3 linked regions of the Lonchura striata genome follow. The protein of the gene in region 1 interacts with the protein of each later gene in a pairwise test. Links are inferred from orthologs where the notes say so. Each region holds a gene or a part of one and is shown in the gene's direction. Other genes may lie near its edges. The genes, in order: UBAC1, RNF216 and CPSF6.

The links.
Region 2: the proteins of UBAC1 (region 1) and RNF216 interact in binary tests that used the Homo sapiens proteins (3 or more experiments, as listed by UniProt). The link is inferred for Lonchura striata from reciprocal best matches to the Homo sapiens genes UBAC1 and RNF216.
Region 3: the proteins of UBAC1 (region 1) and CPSF6 interact in a two-hybrid assay, tested with the Homo sapiens proteins (2 studies listed by BioGRID and IntAct). The link is inferred for Lonchura striata from reciprocal best matches to the Homo sapiens genes UBAC1 and CPSF6.

Annotation. Positions count from the first base shown.
Region 1 is NC_134624.1:9,223,463-9,230,770, forward strand, and holds the start of UBAC1 (ubiquitin-associated domain-containing protein 1), read left to right. Parts: upstream 1-4,292; 5' UTR 4,293-4,424; coding exon 4,425-4,562; intron 4,563-7,308.
Region 2 is NC_134618.1:14,784,350-14,791,667, reverse strand, and holds the start of RNF216 (E3 ubiquitin-protein ligase RNF216), read left to right. Parts: upstream 1-4,269; 5' UTR 4,270-4,381; intron 4,382-5,054; exon of another isoform or gene 5,055-5,166; intron 5,167-7,318.
Region 3 is NC_134607.1:44,500,547-44,507,819, forward strand, and holds the start of CPSF6 (cleavage and polyadenylation specificity factor subunit 6), read left to right. Parts: upstream 1-4,173; 5' UTR 4,174-4,250; coding exon 4,251-4,310; intron 4,311-7,273. UniProt on the Homo sapiens protein: Component of the cleavage factor Im (CFIm) complex that functions as an activator of the pre-mRNA 3'-end cleavage and polyadenylation processing required for the maturation of pre-mRNA into functional mRNAs.

The DNA of each region.
Region 1 (7,308 bases):
GGGTTTGATTTGGAGAAAACATGTCTGCTTCATTATCCCGCCCGTTATCATATTTCTTCCCTCGGCAGCGGCGGGAGAAGAGTGGATACACAAGTCCTGGATGACATGATGGAGCATCCCACAGGAGTTGTCTCGATAAATTCTGAGATTGCCCAGGAAAAGCTGGGGGGGGGGGGGGGGGGGGGGGGAAGGTGTGTAATTTTCAGTCTCTTTTATTCCTCCCACTCTCAGACAATTTAAAAGAGATTACGGGGTTTGCTGGTGTGGATTCCCCCGAGCTGGATGTTCCCACTCTGCCAGCACTGCCTGCTTTGGAATCAGCTCCTTGGAGTCCTTGCAAGAGAAGAAACGAGCCCAGGAATGGGACTGGGGAGGGCTCTGAGGTCCTGCTCCCACACCTCTGCTCCTTGGGTAGGGAGGTGTCAGAATCTGTGGGATTAATGATTCTGAGATCGTAGAAAGTCTCTGTCTGTCAGCCCCCTGCCAAAGCAGAAGCCATAATTGGTCTGTGCTGGTTTCCAGGTTGTTTATTCTGTTTATCTCTCACATGTTCTGCTGCCCTGCCCAGCTCTGTCCTGCAGGGCAGCGTGTGGGGCTCTGCCCTCAGTGGGATGTGACAAACATTAAATACCAGAAACTCCCTGGGCTGCATTTACAAGAACGTGCCAATATCTGTCACCTACGTTGGACAGTGTGTCCCCAGCCTGAACCAACAGAAAAATGCCAACACCACAGTGAGACATGGAGGGCATGAAGAAGGAGAAAAAGGACAAGGCACACCAAATTTTCTCCATCTTGTCCCCTTTGGACCCCTCATCTAGAATCCTAAAATTTTACTTTTTCACCCGTGCCACACTTAATTATCACTTCTATAAAACACTCAGAGCTGCTAATTTATGCTGTAAGATTGAAAACTCTTTTCCATGGCCAGAGATCACAGCCAGTGTCTCTGGGGCTCTGTCCAGGGGGTTCCTGACCCCTGCCAGGGTCCCAGGGCAGCCAGAGGGAAGCTCTGCATTCCCACAGGGAGGGACCCTAAAACTCATCCCATTCCACGCCCTGCCATGGCAGGGACACCTCCCACTGTCCCAGAGTGTTTTCCAAACCCTGTCCAACCTGACCTTGGACACTTCCAGGGATTTGGCAACCTGTGCCAGGGCTTCCCCATGCTCACAGAGAAGGATTCCTCCCTCAGATCCCATCTAACCTGCTCCCTGTCAGTCTGAAGCCATTCCCCCTTGTCCTGGCTCTCCACCCCTGTGAAAAGCCTCTTTTTGTGTTCCTGGTCAGCTCCCTGGTATTTTTGTTTCCTGCAGGAATATTGAGCTGCTCTCCCACTATTCCCCTGCACCACAGAGGGTGTTTGAGGTATTTGAGGTGTTTGAGGGCTGTGGGCTCTGTCCCCCCAAAACTGGAGCAGAGCCAGGCCAATGCTGGGGAACAGGGAAGGATCCTGGATGCAGCCACGGGAAATAATTCCCCTGGGGATGTGAAATAATAATAATTCCCTTTCCTCGAAGGGAAAGAGCTGCTGATCCCCCTTTTCTCATCCCCACGTTGGTCTCTGGCCATAATGGATCAGCCATAAAAAGCGAGTAACACACTGTGCTCTCATTCCTTTGGCTTTGGACAGTACCAGCGTAGCAGACACATATTGTTTATTTATTCTGCTGTGGAGCAAGGCAAGGAGGCAGTGCCCAGTGTTTCGATGGGGTGTTTTTAAATGCTTCCATTCCCTGGGCCCTTATGATGCATTAGCCATCAGTAGTCAAATTGCCTCATATTTGCAATTTTATGGGTTCATTTTATCAAGCACACTGGAGCTGCATTCAAAGCACGGAAATAAAGTATTCCACTTTTGTTAGGCAAGAGCTGCTTCAATGCAAGAGATGGCCAGAGAGCAGAAATCTCTTTTTATTTTCCCTGCCTTTGCTCCAGATTCATCCCCAGATATTGCTTCTCCTTTGCAGCAGAGAGCCCCTTTATGGCTGTGGAAGGTTCTGAGCACACCAGGAGCTCCCCACCTCTGGATTTGTCCTGCTGGGAATCTCTCCCTGCTCCCTGGTGCTTTAAAAGAACTCCCAGCAAAGCCTTGCCCTGCTTGTCCCCAATTCCAGCAGCTCTGAGTGGCACCTCCTGAGCCACCCCCAGACCTCAGCTCCCACCATGGGGCAGGGAAAGGTTGGAAGCAGCAAATCCACCAGGAATCAGTGGAAAAGAAACGTTCAGGGTGGATTTGGCGTCGGGCAGCTCGTGCTCAGCCCATCCCAAGGACTTGGGGTCACCCAGTCTCGGGGTCTGGGTGTTGGGGTGACCCCAGCAGTGTCAGAGTCCTCATTTCCCAGCCAGAGAAGGAGTCTGAATGTGTAGGATCAGCTCCTCAAGGTTATTTATTTTTCCTCCTTTCTCTGCCCTGCTGAGCTCTGTCCAGCAGCTCGGCTGTGCCATCCTGTCTGCCCTCAGAGCTGTGTTTATATTTTATAGAAAAAACTACCTGAACTATATTTACAATAATGTGCCAATATCTATAATTTATATTGGACAGTGTGTCTGTACCTTAAACCAACAGAAAAGTGTCACCAGCACAGCAAGACATGGAGGGCAAGGAGAAGGAGAAGAAGGCCAGGACATGCCCAAATCCATCTTGTCCCTTGAACCCCATTCCAAAAACCCCCAAAATTCCAAAGGAATAACTTTAAAAGTAATATTTGTTGTATATCTTTTATGGGTATGTATACGTTTTATTTAAAATAAGAACTTTGTTGTATGCTGTGTCTTTTCATTTTTAAGGTGTTTTTGAGTAAGGTTTGAAGAAATTAGCTTCTTCTGATAAGAAAATTATAAATTTTTTTGGAAGATGTAGGTGCTCTTTGAAGTGAGTATTTTATTCTTTTAAAAAATACTTTCTTTACATATATAGTCTCTATTTTAACATTATTTTGGAACTTAAAACTATATTTAACATGCTACTTAAGAGAATTAACATAGTATAACTTTCTAACATTACACATATACTATTTATTGTAATACTTGTGAAAAGCCAATCATAAAATATGTATTTTGCACAATATTATAAGACAATAAAAAGTAAAGCATTATGGATGTTTGAATGTTTTTGGATACTAAGTTATGGAAAGTATACTTTGTGAACAAAGGAATAACTTTAAAAGTAATATTGTGTTGTATATTTCTATATCTTTTATGGTTATGTATATATTTTATTTAAAATAAAAACTTTGTTTGTTGTTTGTTAACTGTTTCTTTTAATTTTTAAGGTGTTTTTGAGTTTGAGTAAGGTTTGAAGAAATAGCTTCTTCTGATAAGAAAATTATATTTTTTTTTTCCCGGAAGATTAAGGTGTTCTTTGAAGTGAGTATTTTATTTAAAAAAAAAAAAAAAAACCAAACAAAAAAACAACTTTCTTTACATATATAGTCTCTATTTTAACATTATGCTGGAACTTAAACTATATTTAACACGCTACTTAAGAGAATTAACACAGTATAACTATCTAACATTGCGCATATATTTTTATTGTAATATTTTCAAAAATCCAATCATAAGCCATGTATTTTTCACAATATCAAAGTTAACTTTGATATTAAAGCTTTAATAATACGATATCAAAAGGACCGAGGGCAGCGGGGAGCGGCGGCCCGCGGGCTCCCTCTACCGGCCCGCCGGGGAACTGCCGCTGCCCGCGGCCGCTCCGCCCGGCCCCGCTGGGCACGGCAGCACGGCCCGGTGCCTCCCGCCGTCCCGGGGGCTCCGCGACCCCTCCGCCCGGCCCCGCTGGGCACGGCAGCACCGCCCCGGTGCCTCCCGCTGTCCCGGGGGCTCCGCGACCCCTCCGCCCTGCCCGGGCCGCCGCGGGGACCCCCGAGCCTCACGGTGCGGAACTACAACTCCCGGCATGCACCGGGACATGGGGGGAGACGCCGCGATCCCACAATGCATCCGGGCAACTCCGTCATAACTGCGGCGCGGAGGTGCCGTTGATAAAAGGACTTAAACGTCATTAAACGTCAGTGCCGTTAATCGTTTATTGAAGGTTTATTAAAGATTTATTAAAGATTGAAAGCCTCAGGGGCGCGAAGGGGAGGAGGCGGGGGTTTTACTCCTTCACTTCCGGAGAAGCCCACCCCGGTAGAACTACACCTCCCAGCATGCCGCCGCGCTGCGCAGCGTTTCCGTTTCCGGCCGCGGCCGTGTCCCCGGAGGGACGGCGGGGCCCGGGCGGTGACAGCGGCGGTGCCACCGGGCAGGGCCGGGCCGGGCCGGGCACAGCCACCGCCGCTCCCCGGGCCGGGCCGCCGCTCCCCGGGCCGCCCGGGGTCACCTGCATGGGCGGGCGGGAGCGCGCGGCGCTGCCCGGGGCCTGCTGAGGCGGCGGCGGCGAAGCGCCGGGAGCGGGACCGGGAGCGATGTTCGTGCAGGAGGAGAAGATCTTTGCGGGGAAGGTGCTGAGGCTCCATGTGTGCACCATGGAGGGCGCCGAGTGGCTGGAGGAGGTGGCCGAGGACACCACGGTGGAGAAGCTGAAGGAGCGGTGCCTGAAGCACGTAAGGAGCGGGAGCGGGGCCGGGCGGAGGCGCCGGGGTTGCTCTGGGGGCTGGGAACCAGCAGGGAACGACGGGGAAACAGTCCCGGCAAAAGGAAAATTGTCCCCCGAGGAAAGCTGGCTTTTTTTTTTTTTTTTTCAACGCCCTGTAAATGGTTTTTAAAAGAGGATGGGGTAAAAAATCAGCTCAGGTGGGCAGGTGGCTTTGTGCGCCGTGTCTGCTTTTCCCCAAGGATTGCCTGGAACTGCTCCGTGTGGGAATAAAATAAATCCGCCTTCTGGAGAGCTGTGTGTGTTGGCAGAGGGGGGTTTGGGCAGGGATCGCTTGGGGATGTTTTGTTCCAGAGTTTGGGGTGTGTTTTGGGGTGTCGGAGCAGTCTGTGCTGTGTGAGTTGAACTCCATCCTGGTTTTTCTGTGGCTGAGCAAAGGAAGAAGAAACTGAGAACTGAAGAGCACAAATTGCCTGCTCTGTTAAAATCCGAGTGCAGCCTCCCCCTGTGCTGGCACTGAGGCGTTTCTGGGGGAGATCAAATGCCTCCTAACGCTCTCCCCGTGCTTTAAACAGGGAGATTTTGGTGGAGGTGGCCAAAGTGTCACCGTGTGGCAGGAGATTGTGCCCAGGGGCACAGGCAGTGCCAGGCTGCTGTCCCCAGAGCCCCACACACTGTGGGAGTGCTGGCCTGACTGACAGCAGCAGCGTGTGACACGGTGACCCGTGGCCAGGAGCCTGGGCTGGCAGCTGCACTCCTGACCTGCTGCATTTCTTCCTGGGGCTGGCAAGAGCTGGAGCCTCAGCCTGTCCCTGGGAGCACAGTTCACTAAATCACATTTAATGGTGTGGGGGGGTTTGCCTTCAAAGTCCTACAAAGATTTCTTTTTACATAAAACCTGTGCAATAGGAGAAAATCCTGTATTTTCTAACCGCTTAACTCCCGTTTGAAGGGTTAAATTTTTATTTCCTGGGTGAAATAAAGGTGCCCAGGATCCCTTCCAGTACAGGGAGAGAGGGATGGAGTTCTACAGGACGAGGGGGAATGGCTTCACACTGCCAGAGAGCAGGTTTAGGCACAATTTGATAACTCAGGGTGATATTTGATTTCAATCTCTGCTGCTTTGTGCAAAAATCCATCCTGGAGTGGATTCCCATAACCATAATGGATAATAAATGGTTTTATGAGGGGGAAAACAGATCTGGAGAAATCACAGCTCCTGCTCATGGACTGAATCTTGATAACACCTTGAGATCATTTCTGCAGCCACCTCTTCCAAGAGACTGATGAGTCTGTTCCTGAATGTCTCTGAAATTTGAAATCTTTCAGGAAGCAGAGGGAGATGTTTGTAACGGATTGCAGCTGGGGAAGTGGCCACTTTTCCCTCCATAACCTTCAAATGCTGGCTGATCTCTGAAGTGCCACTCTGGATGTCTTTATCTCCCCCAAATTTGATGTTTTGGGCTCTTTAGTTAGGCAAAGAAACAAACCTCTCCCACTGGTTTTCCCCCATTTGTTTAAACAGATGGTTTCAACCACCCAAGTTTAATAGGAGGGAGTGTCAGGGCTACTTTCAAATGTTTCTGTTATTAAAAGCAAGAAAAAAAAGAAGCCTTTTTTTTTGTATTTTAAAACAAACAAAGCTTTGTGGTTTTACCAGGATTCCAAGCTTTGCAAGAGGTGTTTGGCATCACCAGGGCTTAGGATTTCAGCAGTTGCTTGGGCACCTGTGATAAATATTTGTCCCCTGCCAGGCAGAGCAGCCTGCTGGGAACTCCAAAACTAAAAAGCAAAGGTGAGAATGAGTAAAGGCACTTCTGGTCAGGTGTTTTTTTCTATTTCCAGGGCATTTAAAATGTGAATATAAGCCATCTTGAGTGTCACTGATAAGTGTTTCACTCAGCAGCCTCTTTGGTGTCTCTAGTGCCCATATCTGCCCTGTTATTCTCTGCAGTTGTTATCAAAATGGTTGGAAGAACTGGAAATAAGATTTGGTGGCCACAGAACTTTATTTTTTTGCTTAAACTCTTACCTGATTAGTTTTATGATTAATTACTGCCCACATCTATTATGTGATTGTCCTACATACTTTTTTATATGTGGTGGGGGAAATGGAAGTAGGTCTGTGTGCCCACCCCAAAAACACCTCCCAGCTGCCCTTTTCAGCTCCTCCTAGCTCAGGATCTGTCCCAGGAATATTCTGAGCTGCTTTGCAGAGATGTTCCACTGATGTCCCCAGGCATTTTGGGCACCTTATCAGATCCATTCCAGGAGGTGCTCCCAGCTGCTGATGTGTTCTCTGGCCTTGGTTCAGACTTCATGGGCTGGAGGCTCCCTGAGAGGCTCCTGTCAGACAAAGCAGGACTCAGATATTCTCACCTCAGTCTCACTGAGGCATCAGAACCAAAGTTCAGGTGAGAATCTGTATTGGGAGCAAGAGTGTTTTGTTGGACAAACAGCAGGGAGCTGAGTTTTCCATCAGTTGCAGGCAGCAGGGAAGGTGGTGATGGAGTCAAAATGCTCCTTTGCAGGAGGCTGGTGAAGAACAGCACTAAATGCTCCACCGAAATTAGGATTTTCAGTGGGATTTCTGGGTGCACAAAAGGTGCACACTCTCTTCTGCAGACATGGTGGAAGTGGCTTGGTGGAAATATTTAGAAGTGTCATTAAAAGCAGTTTGCTGTGGGCACAGCAGGCAAGGTCAGTATGAAGTGTCCTGTTTTGTGGTGAGAACAGCAGCAGCAATTTCAGGTTGT
Region 2 (7,318 bases), on another chromosome or scaffold:
TCAGTTATGTAGGGATGAAAATTTCTCCAGAGAGCCATAAGGCTATTTTTTCCAATATCTGAAACTAATATTAAAAGGTTTGTTCTCTAACACAGGGGTAACAGAAGCAAATACAATACCTGAATGTCTTGATTTGAAACACAGGTGTCTGCTAAGGAAGGCAGGAGCCTCCCTTGCAATGGAAAATGTAACCTCCTTCCCTCCAAAATATTATAATTTTGAAATTAAGGGGTTTTCAGGCAAAGATAGGAGAAATAGGAATAATGGCTCTTTACTAGCATATATAACAAGGCAATAATACAGAAACACTGGTTTAAAGTGACAGTCAGGATAGGACCTGACACCCTGTTGGTCAGGGTGGTGGTGGCAGCCCAAGTTAGTGGTGGCTGCAGTCCTGATGAAGTGATCAATGTGGTTCTGTTGAAGCAGTGGTCCTGTAGAAGGGTCTGGTCTTCCTCTGAAGGTCCAGTGGTGATTATGTAGCTCTTGTCCTCTGGGAATGCAGTAGGTAAGGGCTGCCTGTGGTGGTCCAAATCTCAGATTATATCCAGGTAGGAAGCTTGGTTCCTCCCCCTGGGTGGAGCATCTCACAGTGGGTGATGTGATTTTATGAGTCATGCATTGAGGCTTAATGACCCATTAACAGAAGATAATTCCCCCAGAGGGAGTTATCAGGGATGTGTCATGGAAGAGATAAAGAACACTGCCCCAGATGGTTTTAGGAGATTGTGATAGAATACATACCTTTGGTTACATCCTACATTGTAACCTAAGACACTCAATCACTAACATTTTTCCAGTTGGCACACCAAGATGAGACGGTATTTTAACAAATAACATGGCTTCAGAGAGACCCAGTTATCTATCAAACATGTCTAAACTTAAGCAGGCTTGCTTGTATAGGATTTTTTTTTCTTTGGCAAGCCTGATTTTTAGAGAGATTCATGACTGAACCACTTAACAGATGTAACATTAATGGAATAGTGCATTGAAATTCAGCTGTGGGTAAGAGACTGTCTTTAGGAGATGTCTACTGGAATACATCTATTTTGTCTTTTTATTTAATTGCATTTGGTAATAGCTTTAAACTGTGATAGGACAGAAAGTAGACACTTGTCAAAACCTGGCATCTATCTCTGTTTTGTTTGTTTGTGGTTTTCTTTTTGCCATTGACCATAATTCTTGTGATTTGTCGTCGGGAGTCGCATCGGAGGTGTAAAATTGTACCATAATGTGAGATTTGCACAGGGTGGCTAAAGATGCTCATCCTGCAGGACTGTACAGGAGAGGTATGTTCAGCCCCCTGTTCTGTAGGGATCTTTTGGCACTTGGAGACCAGTTTCTGCAGTTCTGGTTGTTGGGATGTGCAGCAGTTGGCAGACAGCATCCCTACGGTCCCAGGCTGAGAAGCAGAGTTCCCACAACCCTGGATTTTCCAAATTGCTTTGAAGTCAAACCTGTTCATAGAGTGTATTTAATCCTTTCAGTACGTTTGAATGTGCAATAAACCAGTCAGATAGTAAAAATGCAAAACTGATTATTGCCCAAAAGCTCTGCATGCAGTCTCATGTGGGTTTTTCACTAAAAGAAGTGTAAAAAAACCCCAAAAGCCCAGATACTAAAACCCACCCCTAATAAAAATCCTGTCACACCTGCAGCACAACTGGCTCAGTACAAACCAAGTGAGGTGAAGGGAAAGGCCCCTGATTTGGAGATCTATAGGTCAAGTAGCTTTATGTCAACGACCCAGTTGACATAAGATAGTTCCTAATGTCTTTGCTAGGTCAGTGTTTTATTGAATGCACAAAATAAGAATAGGCAAGGATTGTTGTTTCGAAAAGTCCGTCTGTTTTTTGCTGTATTTAAAAGCCCTTGTCAAGGTACCTCCTCCGTGCTGACAGTAACGAGAATAGGGCACTGTCTTTTAAATTATTTCAGTTCTCTTTTCAACAGCTTCACCACCTCTCCCGTTGTGTTGTCTTTGCAATTTTGTGCCACTTCAGTGACGATGAAGACATTTTTTGTCTTGTTCTGTACATGCATTTTGAGGCAGACCTTAAAGCTGGTTGGGTGGATGGAGGAACAGCAAGGAGTGAGGCAGAATGGCTTCGGAGCCATGGGCTGTTCTTCCCATGCCCACTTCCAAGGCCAGAGAAGGACAAAATGCCAACAGCATGGCTGGAGCCAGTGGCTCTCAGAGGTCTGGGATAACCTCAGCTGTCTGAATTTGTGTCCATTCCCACTCGGTCTGCCAGCACTTGAACTTGGTTGTTACTTCTCAAACTTGCCCAAAGAAAACCATGGAGTCGCGTGTTCATGTTGTCATTCCACGTCCCACCGCGTGCACGGACACTCTTGGATCTGACCCGAAGGAAATACAAGGTACAGCGTGTCTGTCATTCCTGTCCCACGGCACAGCCACAGCTGCTCCATCAGCCGTGCCCTGCTTCTGCTCCTCAGCCTCTACTCTACGCTCAGGGATGTAGGAAACACCACTCTGCTCGTGTGTTCCAGCGGGGAGGAACGAGACTGTTGGCTGGGTGTGAGTGTTCACTTGGGCATTATGTTAGACAAGACCCTGCTCCAAAAAGGCTGCTCGAAGCTCAGCAGTTTGTCCTCAGTTCAAGTCGAGGTGGTTGTAAAATCCAACAGATTTTGTAAATTACTGATCAGCCACCGGGCCCTCTGGAGCCAGTGCCCAGGTTCGGGGCCGTGTGGCACAGCAAATTCCCAGAAACGCAGTATGGATCTGGTTTTAATCTGTTAATTTTTTTTTGTTGTTGTTGTTGTTGTTCCTCAACCACTTTATAATGTATTTTTTTAATTTATTATTTTGTAATGTCATGTTTAAGTATTGCTGCTATCCTTGTTATTCTTCCCACTGTTTTTATTGCAGATTTATTTTGTGGAAGTTGTACACTAATGTTTCATTTTATGTCTAAATCAAAGTATTTAAAGAAATACTAGTTCTATTTAATGTGGTTATGGAACCAGCTGGAATAAACAGTGATTGTATAGTAGGCTGGACCCAGGAGGTCATGTTCATTTTTGTTACATATGCAATAAACTCACAACTTTAAACTCTTGGTAGCCACTGCTTTTTTGTTAAAATATTTGTGGGAATCAGAGGAAAAGAGTGGACAAAGTATCAAAATGCAATTGATTTAACAGATCTGTATGGACTGCCTAGATGAAAGTCCTCCTCTGCAGGGAGAACATTTTGTTTCAGTAATTCACCTTTTTCCCTTCTTTTCTCATTATTTGTCCTGATGCTTTACCAAAACCTCAATTTGCAGAAAAGATTGTAATCTCCCCATTAATGAAAGCTGGAGAAAGATTCACTAATGTTGATGAATCCTTGCTTTCCTGTTTGCATTTTTTTCCCTCATTACTGCTGCTTTGCAAGTGGAGGACAGGAACAAGTCCGAGGAGGTTGCTCAGTGTTGGTGTGTGCTGCAGCAGTGCCTTCCCTCCCTGATGCTGAAAGCTGGGCCATAATTTGGTTTAATAAATAAATAAGGAGGGAGTACAAATAAAATGCTTTTTGTTCTTTGAGTAATTTCACAATATGAACAAATGACCGGGGAGCTGCTGCAGCCACCCCTCGCGTCAGCCCGCGGCAGGGACTGAACGATTTCATTACCTGGAGCAGGAGTTCGTGTCAGTCCTTCAGTGCTCTGTCACACACTGCTGTTTTCTTTAATAAGTACTTTTTGTGAGATTTTCCTGATTTCTGCTTTCCTTTTGGCTCTAAGGGAGAGGAGAATCTCTGGAGCCAGCTCCAGTGGGTGGGCTGTGCTGTAGAGGGGCTGCTCCAGGACTTCTCTACGACGTGAGCCTCTTGAAAAGTCAATTAAAATTATCCCATTTCTCTTAGGAAATCATGCGGAGCTCAACGAATCGGCTATCTCCTTTTCTGGCGGCTTTGGCAAGCCACTTAAATCCCTCAAATTCCATTTTCTACTCTTCCTGCGGGACGTCCCCATCTAAAACGCGGTGTCCGAGGGGGGAAGAAGCGCTTCCCTGCCATTCTCTTAGGCCTCCACGAGCACCCAGAACCGCGGTGGGGGGGTCCCGTACAGGGGTCCCGCACCCCCCAAAATTCCTGAGCCCCCCAAAAAGTTCGGCCCGGGCCCCGCCCCGCACCCACGTGCGGCGCTGGCCGCGCCCCCTCCCCGCGGGACACCGCCCGCCCGGCAGGGGGCGTGGCGCCGCCCGCCCCTCTCTATGGTAGCGCGGCCGTGCCGGGCCCGCCCGCGCCGCCGTCCCCGCGCGCCGCTCTGGCGCTCCCTCGCTGGCTCTCTATGGTGCGGGGCGGCGCGGTCACGTGGCGCGGGCCGGGCGGAAGCGGCGGCAGCGGCGGTTAAATGAAGCGGGGCCGGTGAGTGCCGGGGCGACACCGGGGCGGCACCGGGGCGACCCCTCCGTCCCGCGGGGCCGCTGAGTGCCGGGGCGACACCGGGGCGGCCCCTCCGTCCCGCGGGGCCGCTGAGTGCCGGGACAGCGCTGCCGTCCCTGGGCCTCGCCGTTCTCCTCGCTGCGGGGTCGGGCGCTGCTCCCGGCTGGGGCCTGTCCTCAGGGACGGGTCGTTCTCCCCGCGTTCCCTCAGGGCCCGGTGTCCGTTCCGTCTGTTTCTCTTCCCCCCCACCTCCCCTCAGGGCCGGTCCTTCCCGTCAGGGACGGGTCGTTCCTCCCAGCGCTTTCCTGAAGGGACGGGTCCACCGTGTCCGTCCTCCCGTACCCCTCCACTTTCATTTAGGGCCGAGTTCTTCCTCCTCGCTTTCCCTCAGAATCGGGGACACCCCCTCCCCCTCCAGCTCCCCTCAGGACTGGGTCCTTTCCCTCCGCCCTGCATCCCCTCAGGGCCGGTCCCGTCTCCCCCTTCCCGGGGCCAGGGGGTCCCTTCCCCGTGTTCCCCCGCAGCCCCGAGGGACACCCGGGGACAGGCGCTGCTCTCCGGGGCTCTTTGGGCTGCCCCGGCTACCCCGGGCCCGGTGCTTGGAGCTTGTGAGGAGAGGAGAGTAAAAGGTTGTTCTCTTCTGACCCCTGTTCAGTGTGGGAGCACTCGGTGCTGCTGGGACATCTCGACATTTCAGGAATCTGCTGTGGGAGCTGCTGCAGGAAAGAAACCCCAAACACAGCTGTCCTCAGAGCTGAGGGATCAGTGTAAGAGATACTCCTCTTCCTTTTCTTTCCTTTCTGTATTGATCCAAGTGCCAGCCAGCCGTGGTAGAGCACAGCCTGGAAGTGTTAATGTACCCTGCGTTTATGTAATGAGTTTTTCTGCCCCTGGAGCTGACCTTGTTCCCCCAGAAGGCTGGAGGCAGGTCAGGATCTCACCGAGGTCTCCTGAGGCTGAAGAGCTGTGGGAGCTCCAGCGTGTGTGTGAAGAGAGGAGTGTGAGCACGCCTGGGGCAGTGCTTTGGGGTGGGCAAAATGTGGATTGGCTTAAAGAGTCATCCCAGAGATCCTGGGATTTGCAGCTGTGCTGGATAGGACCCTGGGTGGATAATGGCTGCTTGCACCTACCAGCCCAGCCTGGGGAGTTTTTCCTTTCATCTCACTTGTGCTTTATGATCTGGAGTGTTCTCTTTGAGTGTCCTCCAGTACCTTACTTTACAATCTTACTGACAGATGCTTAGAGCAGTTTTCGTACAAATAAGTTTAGTTGTTGATGTTTCTGTTCAGTTTGGTCGCTATCCTGAGAAAGAGAATAGCTGATGTTGCTTTTTATTTCCATTTATTTATTTTATTTCCATATTGATGTGCACTTTTATTTCCATAATCCCGACGTGGTACTAAGGGACTAAAGCTTGATGTCCATGTGATTTTCAGAGTATTCCCTCCTGTGTTTCTTTCCCTATGGAACAGGATTGCTTCAGGCAATCCTAGCAGTTCTAGAGGGTCTCTTGGTGGCTGAGAGGCACAGCCAGTCCTAAGACCTATGGGCAGATCTCTGCTTCTCTGTTTTGTCTCTGTGGAGCTTGAGTCCTCTTTCTTAACAATCTCTGCTCTCCCACCTGATGCACTTTGGAGCTCTTGCAGGTTTCCAGTGGAAGCAGTGGAGGGAAAGGCAGGTGTCCCCTCTCAGGCATTTAAACTGGCCTTTGCTCAACTAATGTGGCCTCTCCTGCTTTCAGAGAGGATGGCATGAGGGTTTTTCCTCCAGCAACCTGCTTGGAATGTGAGGCAGGAAATCTGAGACCCATCATTTTGCAAATCCAAATATCTTGAGCAGGTTCTGGTACATCCCTGAACAGGTACAAGGCCTGTGGTAGAGGCTCAAACCATGTTTTGTTTTGGACTAGTAGGATTGCAGGGACAGCTTTTCATTCCAGAACTCTGGGATTTACAGCTTTAATGTGTGCTTTTAGTTTCTAGGATGAATGCTGTGCAAAAAATCCACTGCCTTGCATCAGGCCTTCTGCAATTGTAAACACGTTAATAGATTTCATGTGCTGGGTGTCTTCGTGGTGTGACTGGATGTTCATAAACCGTCATCTTGACAGGAGTTTGTGCCTGGAACACCAAGACTTGGGAAGGGACTCAGACAGATTTCCTGAAGATCTGTAGACATTCAGCCTTCTTGGAGGTGCTGCATTGTGGTAGCAGGCTTTCTTCCATCTCTTTTTCTTGCTTCCTAGGAGGATGTTTTCCTTCTGGTTGGCCTGGCTGCAGGCAGTCGGGGCAGGAGCAGCAGTTCCTAGAAGAGCACTTGGGGCAGGTGTTACTGGTGATAAGGTGCAGTCTGGTTTCCAGCAGGGTGCTGGCAGCCTGTTCCTGGGCTGGAGTTTCAGGAGCTGCCTCCGAAGTCCAAGTTCCGGGGTAGACCAGTGTTTTGTCTGCCTGAGAATGCGGTGGGCGTTCCTGCTGCTGGCGAGCCTTGTGCTTTGAAATTGGACACAAATCACTGAAAAGTCCTGTGGCAAGAATAGGTGGGGCAAACACACAATTCCGGCGGCTCTGGCGCAGCTGGAGGAAGGCAGGAAGCATATCCCAGGGGCCAGGAGCTGATTAGCAACCTGGAGTAGCACAAATTCAAGTGCAAGAGATGTGAAGCCCTTTGGGTGTTGTTTAGTTGCCTGCTGGAAGAAGCTTCCATTCATTAATTTGGAATGGGTGTCTTATTTTTATTTATATCTTTCTAAAGCCATTGTGAGTGGTTTATTGTGTGTGAGTGCCAGCAGTGCTGGGTGTTGGGGCTTGCCACTGGCTGCATTCTTTATGGGACAGTCAGAGCTGCACCACTCATTCCTCTCATTGGAAGTTTGGAGATTTTTTTGTTTGTTTGTTTGCAGATGGTTTTGATCTGGAGATA
Region 3 (7,273 bases), on another chromosome or scaffold:
TTGAATTTATTATCACCTTTTGCACTATACTTACCTTCTCTAATACACTTTCCTGCCTTGAGGGTTAGAAGATGCATACTATTTGCAAATCATATCCTGATTAACCACCATTTTCAACCTGGCTCTGAACCACAGAGTGAACAGCTGAACCAAGATAATCAGTAGACTGACAGGCACTTATAGAGGGGAAAAAAGATGGAGCACAATGCTCACATGTATGATCCCAAAACAATTGAATACCTATAAAAAGACAACTCTGAGCAAGCGATGAATAATGCCAGCTATTTTCCTACAATAGCTCTGTCAGTAGGAGTTCTTGTAGATGCCCTTTGGATGCAGTTTTATATTACACTTAATCCAATCTAACTGTGAGCTGCAACCAAAAGATGAGGTAATATTCCCTCTTTCCCAGCACAGGCTGTTGCTACCTTTGTTGGGAACACAATTGTCTCTTTTCATTTCAGCCTGCAGTTACACGAGAGTTAACAAAACCTGAAATTTTGGCCTCTGAAAGCAAATATGCAGAATTGAGCCTATTTGCCATCTCATTTAGAATATATTTTTTTTTTCTCACATTTTTGTCTGTGGACTTTTATAAACTAAGGCATTTAAGTGGAAAAAACTATTTCTTACAGCTTAGTGTACAGGCTTTCACTATTTGGATATTTTACTGGGAGAAAAACAATAAAAGGGCATGCAGAGTGGCTCCAAGAGGATTTGGAAAGATCAAAGCCTTCAGGTCTACAAGTAAAGAAACAAAACAGTCATTGCAATTGGACTGACATAGCTAGGACATAAGTTTATATAACAAAACATACACTGCACTCCTTAACTAAGCTGAGGTCTCCTCTGATTTTGAGTACTATCCTGATTAACACAGCACTTTTTCATAGCTTATCTTTTCACTTTGTTGCCTACAACATTACTGCATTGTGAAAAATGCATATTTTATGATTAGCTTTTTGCAAATGTTACAAGAACAGTTTATGCTGATATTGAAATAAAAGTCCATTTGAAAAATCCTGCACTATTCTCAGTCTTGATTCCTCAGGCAAATTCTACATAAAATTATTTTTCGAAATATAAATATATATTTTTGCCATGTTGATACTGGCAAAAATAGGTTAATGTTTAAAAGCATTATTATATTGAAACTGGTTCTCCCATTCTTAACTAAAGTAATATATTTAAGTATTTTTGAGATAATCACATACAATACAAAGGGCTGGTAAAATAGCTCTCCTCCCCTTTGTCTTGCAGCAGGAACATCCTAATAGAAAATGGTCTGAAATGCTTTGAAGAGGAAGGTATGGGGAGTTCTGTTGGCTAACAAGATGTATGTTACAAGATCCTCAGAGAACCAACTGCTGCTTTTATGTTCAAAATGAGGATTATATCCGAATTTGCATCATTAACAGCTCAAGAGACCAAAGGAACGATATACAAGTAAATAGGCTTTTGTGTATCCATGAGAAAGAGGGACTTGAAGGCTACCTTCCTTTGTAGAACTGCTACAGTGCCTTTCCCACCTTCTTTTGCTATTAAGGGAGTTCCAGCTGCCATCATCAAATGACAGAACATCCCACGGTGTGAAAGAAGAACTGAAGGAAGACACCAGTTCATCTGCTGCCATTTGTTCCCATGGTGGGCTAAGTGTTTGAAAGGTTTGTGATTACTTCATGCGTAGTGGCTCCTGCTGTCCCCAACAAAACTTATGAGGACACTTCGCCAAGACCATGTTGTACTGCCAAGAATTCTTTATCTAATGATCACATTTCTGTTTCAAGCCCTGCTTCACCTCAGCCAGCCTCCTGAATTTTACTGGGTGAAGGATGGAACATTTTGTTTAAATAATTTAAATGTGTACAATACATAAAGCATTAATATTTTCACTGGAGTAGACCAACCCTGAAGTTGCTCCCTTGAGGCACAGTAATTCACAAAGAAGCTATTGATGACCACAAGAAAGAGGAAGACGTATTTAGCAAGTCTATCCATGGAAAGAATGAAAACACAACAAAAATGGAACAGAACAGCTTGCATAATATTTAGTCTCCTACATTGCCTACAGAATTTACTTAGTAATATGCATACAAGAATAACAATTATCATAATCTATTCTGTAAATGACTGTGCACAGTAAATCTAGCAAGTCAAACTATTAAAAAGGGCTCCAAAGTGGAAAAAACTCCTGAGCATGAAACAGCATATGGGGGTCCAAGGGCTTCACTTCATTATCACAACAAGCAAAGCAGAGGCTGATGTTTTTTCCTGCCTCTTCAAAGGCCCCACACGAGATCGTTCAAATGCTAGTGGTAATCCCTGAGGTGGTTCTGATGACTTTCATTCATATTTTATTATCTTGCCTTTTTAAACTACCTATGGATAATACTCAGATGAATATAAAACATTCAATTGCATATGACCTACTATCTGCTGTTATTTTTTAATCTGATCATTAGGATAGCAAGGCTTAGGTTGTCTTGATTTCAGCAGCTTTATTTAGCATGGCCAGAAGTGGTGACTGTCACAGCGCTTCACTTTACTCTCTAGAAGACTAGTTACTAAATCAGTTCACCATTAGGGAAGTAAGTGAACCCAAACAGATCTCAATACTTTAACAGCATCTGTATGGACTGTGAGAAATCCAGAAAAGTGGATTCTCTTTGCAAAACCAGTCAATCATTTCATTCACCAGTAATTTGTGCATTCATAGATGTGAACATGTACTTTTAACCTGTGATAAATGTAGTAGTGTAAATCACAATTGTAACCAACACTAGAAGTTCAATTAAGATCCCTTGTTTGTATGTTCCTAACTACCACCTCTAAAATGTTTGGGGTTTTTTTGATGTTTTTTTGTTTTGTTTTGTTTTGTTTTTTTGTTTTTGTTTTACCAAAGGGCTCACAATCTGCTAGTTCATTTAACCTGGAAACTTCAATAAAAACCCTTTAACCCTTTTCCGTCTTCCAGAATTAACAGCAGGAATGACACAGGATCTGCAGCTGACAAATTTATCATTTCACCAGTTGGATAACGACACCAGGAATAACCCAAGCATCTCCATATCTGAAATCTATCTAGACTGTCAGCAGGTGCGCTCCACAACATATGCCTTGTTTTGGATCTCCGATTTTTTATCTATTTTTTTGTCTATTCATATTTCTTTTCCATGGGCACTTCAGTGTGGGATTGCTAGACAGGGATGATCTGCACACAGGTCCAGGACCCAAGATGAAGTCAGTACTTTGGATGCCAATCCAAACACTGTGAAGTATTTCCAGTCATGAAACAAGAAAACTTGAGTCATGCTAAAAATAACATTTTTATTCATTGCAGTGATGTTTTTACATTATTTTAATTCAGTCTGAGATGCACAGGCTTCTTATTGTCAGCTTTTGATAAAGTAAAAAAAGCAGGTTTATTTTTGGATGTGGAACACAATGTACAAAGCAGAACATAACCTATTATGTAGAGCATTATGTGCACTGCGCTTCATATACCAGGAGATGTTTCTAAAAATCACCTGGAGTTTAAACATGGATCTGGGTAACAGAACATTCATTCAAAATTAATTTGAAGCTGTCCTGCAACCCTAACAGTTCAAAATGCACAACAAAAACAAACAACACCGAAAGAAAGAACCCCGATTGACTTGACATTAATTATCTTCACTTTGTGACGTTAAAAAAGAGTGCTCTGCGGCAGCACAGCAGAGCCGTGGCTAAATGCAGTTCGGCGTGTGCCTGTTTTGTGTCCTTGCCGCACATTTCACTGCGCTCCGGAGCCCGGCGCGCCCCTGCTTTGAAGGCGCAGCGCGGTGCTCATTTTCAGCCGACAGCCACAGGCCTCGGCTGCTGAGCACCAAGGCGCTGTGACTGCGCTGGAGCTCCCTTCCCGGAGCGCGGCGGAGCGGCACACCGGCCTGCGCCCCGCAGCGCCGACACCGACACCGACACCGACCTCACCGCCCGGCACGGTGCGGCCGGCGCAGCCCCGCCGAGCCCAGCAGCGCGGAGCAGGGCCGGGCCGGACGCGGCAGCAGCAACGCGGCCCCGCCGGGCGGGGAGCGCCCGGGGCGGGGCGGGGCGGGGCGGGGCGGGGCGGGAGGAGCGGCCCGGCGCCGCCGCCGGCGGAAGCCCCGCCGCGCCGCCGCGGAAGTGACGGCCCGCTCCGCCTCCCCGCTCCCTCCCCCTCCCGGCGGCGGCTCGGGAGCCGGGCGCGGCTGGCGGCGGCCCCGGGCGGGACCATGGCGGACGGCGTGGACCACATCGACATCTACGCCGATGTGGGCGAGGAGTTCAACCAGGTACGCGCGGCCGGCGGGCGCGGCCTCTCCGCTGCGCTCCCCTCTGCGCTCCCCTCCCTCGCCCGCCTTCGCGGCCGCGCCGCCTGCAGGGCCCTCAGCGCGGCGGCCGCAGCGCCGCCATTGTTCGGGCGCTCCCGCCGCCGCCGGGCGCGGGCCCGCGCGGGGCCGGGCGGGCGCGGCCCCCCGCCCGGGCCGCGGGTGCCGGCGGCGGCCCGGCCGGGCGGGGAGCGCGCCCGGCGCTGAGGGGCGGCTGTGCCGGCGGGCTGGGCGCGCCGGGGGCGAGCGCCTTCCTTCTTTCCTTTCCTCGCTGTTCCGTTTCTGCCAGCCTTCCTCCCTCTCTGCCTTTCTTTCTCAGGGCCGCTCCGGAGGGCTCTTCCGCGCCGGCTTGGCGGGCGGGGCCCTCCCGGATGCGGCGGGGAGAGCGGCCCCTTCCCGCCGGGGCGCAGGGGAAGCGCTGCCATTGTTCGTAGATGAATCGAAAAGCCGCCGAGCGGTGTCTGTTCCTCGGCCGCGCTTTGCGGGGGAGGCGGAACTAGTGCGGCTTTATTCTGCAGCACTGGAGAGAGTATCCAGCTTTTTGTATTTCCTTTTTTGTTTTTCTTGCTTGTTATTCCATTCTAAAAAGTGACACAAGCCTTTTTTAGAGGGTGAGTTCATATTTTGTTGAGGCAATATAGATGAAATATGAAACTTCTCTGGATTATAAGTAGTCCTCTTTTTTTCTAGGTGTGTTTGGTTTTTTTGGTTTTGTTGTGGATTTTTGGTGTTTTGTTTGTGTTTTTCCCTCATCTTTACCACACAGCCGTGTGCCAGCTTTCCTACCTAAACGCGATGGTTGTATGAGTTTTGCATGCCATCTGTCCTGTTAGCGAGTGCTGCACTTCTCCAGGTTGAGTTGCCCCAAATTGCTTTGTTCCTACCCTAGAGCATAAATAACCGGGAACAACTGCACTTTCAGGAACTTACGGGGCCCGGCTGTATGCCAGCTTGCCCTACAGAGAACTGGGAAATAAGCAATGGCTTTGGAATTCATAGGGAATATGTAACTTTCTCAGCAACTTGTAGCTTTTTTAGAAGACTATTTCTTCAGACATCGATTAATACAGTAATTCTGAGTATTAATAATCTCATAAAGGTGTACTCAGAAAGAGTGCCATACTAAAAGGAGATGATGAAAAGCACTGATTTGCTCTTATTTTGTCTGTATGTGAAGGTTTCTCCCTTACAGTTGAAGACCCACTGTATGAATTTAAACAGGAATGAACCCTAGGGCAGACACCATTCAGCAGAAGAGTACATTTTTGAGGTTCTATGATAACTTGAATTTGGTTTAATCAATTCTAAATAAAACTGAAAACAAAGGAGATTTTTCAGAGAAAAAACCCTCACTTGAATCTGGTAGTGTTTGTGTAAATTCATGTGTGCAGAAGGGCTCAGAGTAGAATAGTTATGTGCTGTAAGAGATAGTGCTGGAACAAAAGTGATGGGGATGATCTGTTTCACTCACACGGTCCTGGTCTACTTAGGTCTCAGGTAGTCATTACTGTTGATATTCTATATAACCATGGTGTTACAAATGAAGAGAGTCTTGTGATAATTTAGTTTAGCTTAATCCAGCAGGCAGGGAACCCTTTTGCTTTTTCTCTGTATTCACTCCAGTTGCTTCCCTTGTGGGTTTGCATTTCTGCAGTTTGTTGTTTCAGTTCATAAATCTTGCAAAATACAGGGCAGAAAGGTGAGAAGAGGCTACTGCCCTTTTTCCATCAGCTTAAATTTGGGGGTTTTGTTTGTTTGTTTTAGGGGGTTTTCTTCTGTGTTTTTGACTGTGGCACACACCCCCAAAAATTGCTGTTTGTTATTTTCCAGATTTAATTTCTGTGACTTTTTATTTAAAGTAATATTGTTGAACTGAGTAAGTCTGGAGACAATATAAAAGTTTTACTTTTGTAAAATTGTGAGAGATTGATGCCTCTGCACTTTGGCATTTCCTTCTGTCATATGTGAAAGAGAGTTGTATTAGTTACTGCCTCTTAATTCTGACATCATTGAGAAAAGGTGTGTAGAAACTTTTATTAACAAAGTGCTGTTCCTGATTTGAAGCTGACAGCTTAAATGGATAATACAGAATTATGTGGATGTGTTAAGATGACAGTTAAAAATGCTTTAGGAAGAAAGTGATTTCCATTATTAATTTGATTTTGTATTTTTACAATTTATGCATTTTACAAACACCATATTTGTAAAATAAATTGGTTTTATCTGTTAAATGAACTTGATTTTTGATTTTGTTGTTCTACATGAATGTGACGTACTAATATTTTTTAAATTGGAGTATAGAAACCCTTTCCACTAGTTTTGGCAGGGACTGAAAAATGTGCTGTGGAGCTTGCTGTTCTTCTCTATGCAGTACATAACTGTATTTATACCCAAGCTGGGACAAGACTTGTGTTTGCATCTGGAGTTAACCCTTCATTTAGATTTAGGACTTATTAACTGGATAAACTTCCCTTGGTTATTTTGTCTTGTTCTACACCTCAAGGTACTCATCCTTGAGGCTCTTCTGGGATTTTTTTAATGCCTTTTTCCAAGTAGGTGGAGGGTAAGGTTGTTCTGCTTGATTAGTGCTAAATGAACCATAGGTTATAAAGGTGAAATAAAGACCACAGAACCATGGGTTTACAAGCTGGCTAAGATGGATGATAGCCATAAACTGTCATGGGTTGTATTTAGTTTTGGTTACAAAACTTGATAAAAAATCTTTTGAGTGAAGATGCATCTTTCCTATTCCAGCTGAACCTCATTGTCTGTCAGTGTTGCCTCTTTTATTAACTTGTTGTTCATGAAAATAATACTTTTTGTTCTTGGGCTAACAGCATTAGTCAATTTGGCTCTGACCAATTACAGTTTTGTTTAAATTGTGGTTTCTTTTTTTTGTCTTGGAGAACTTGGTTGAGTAATTTTTC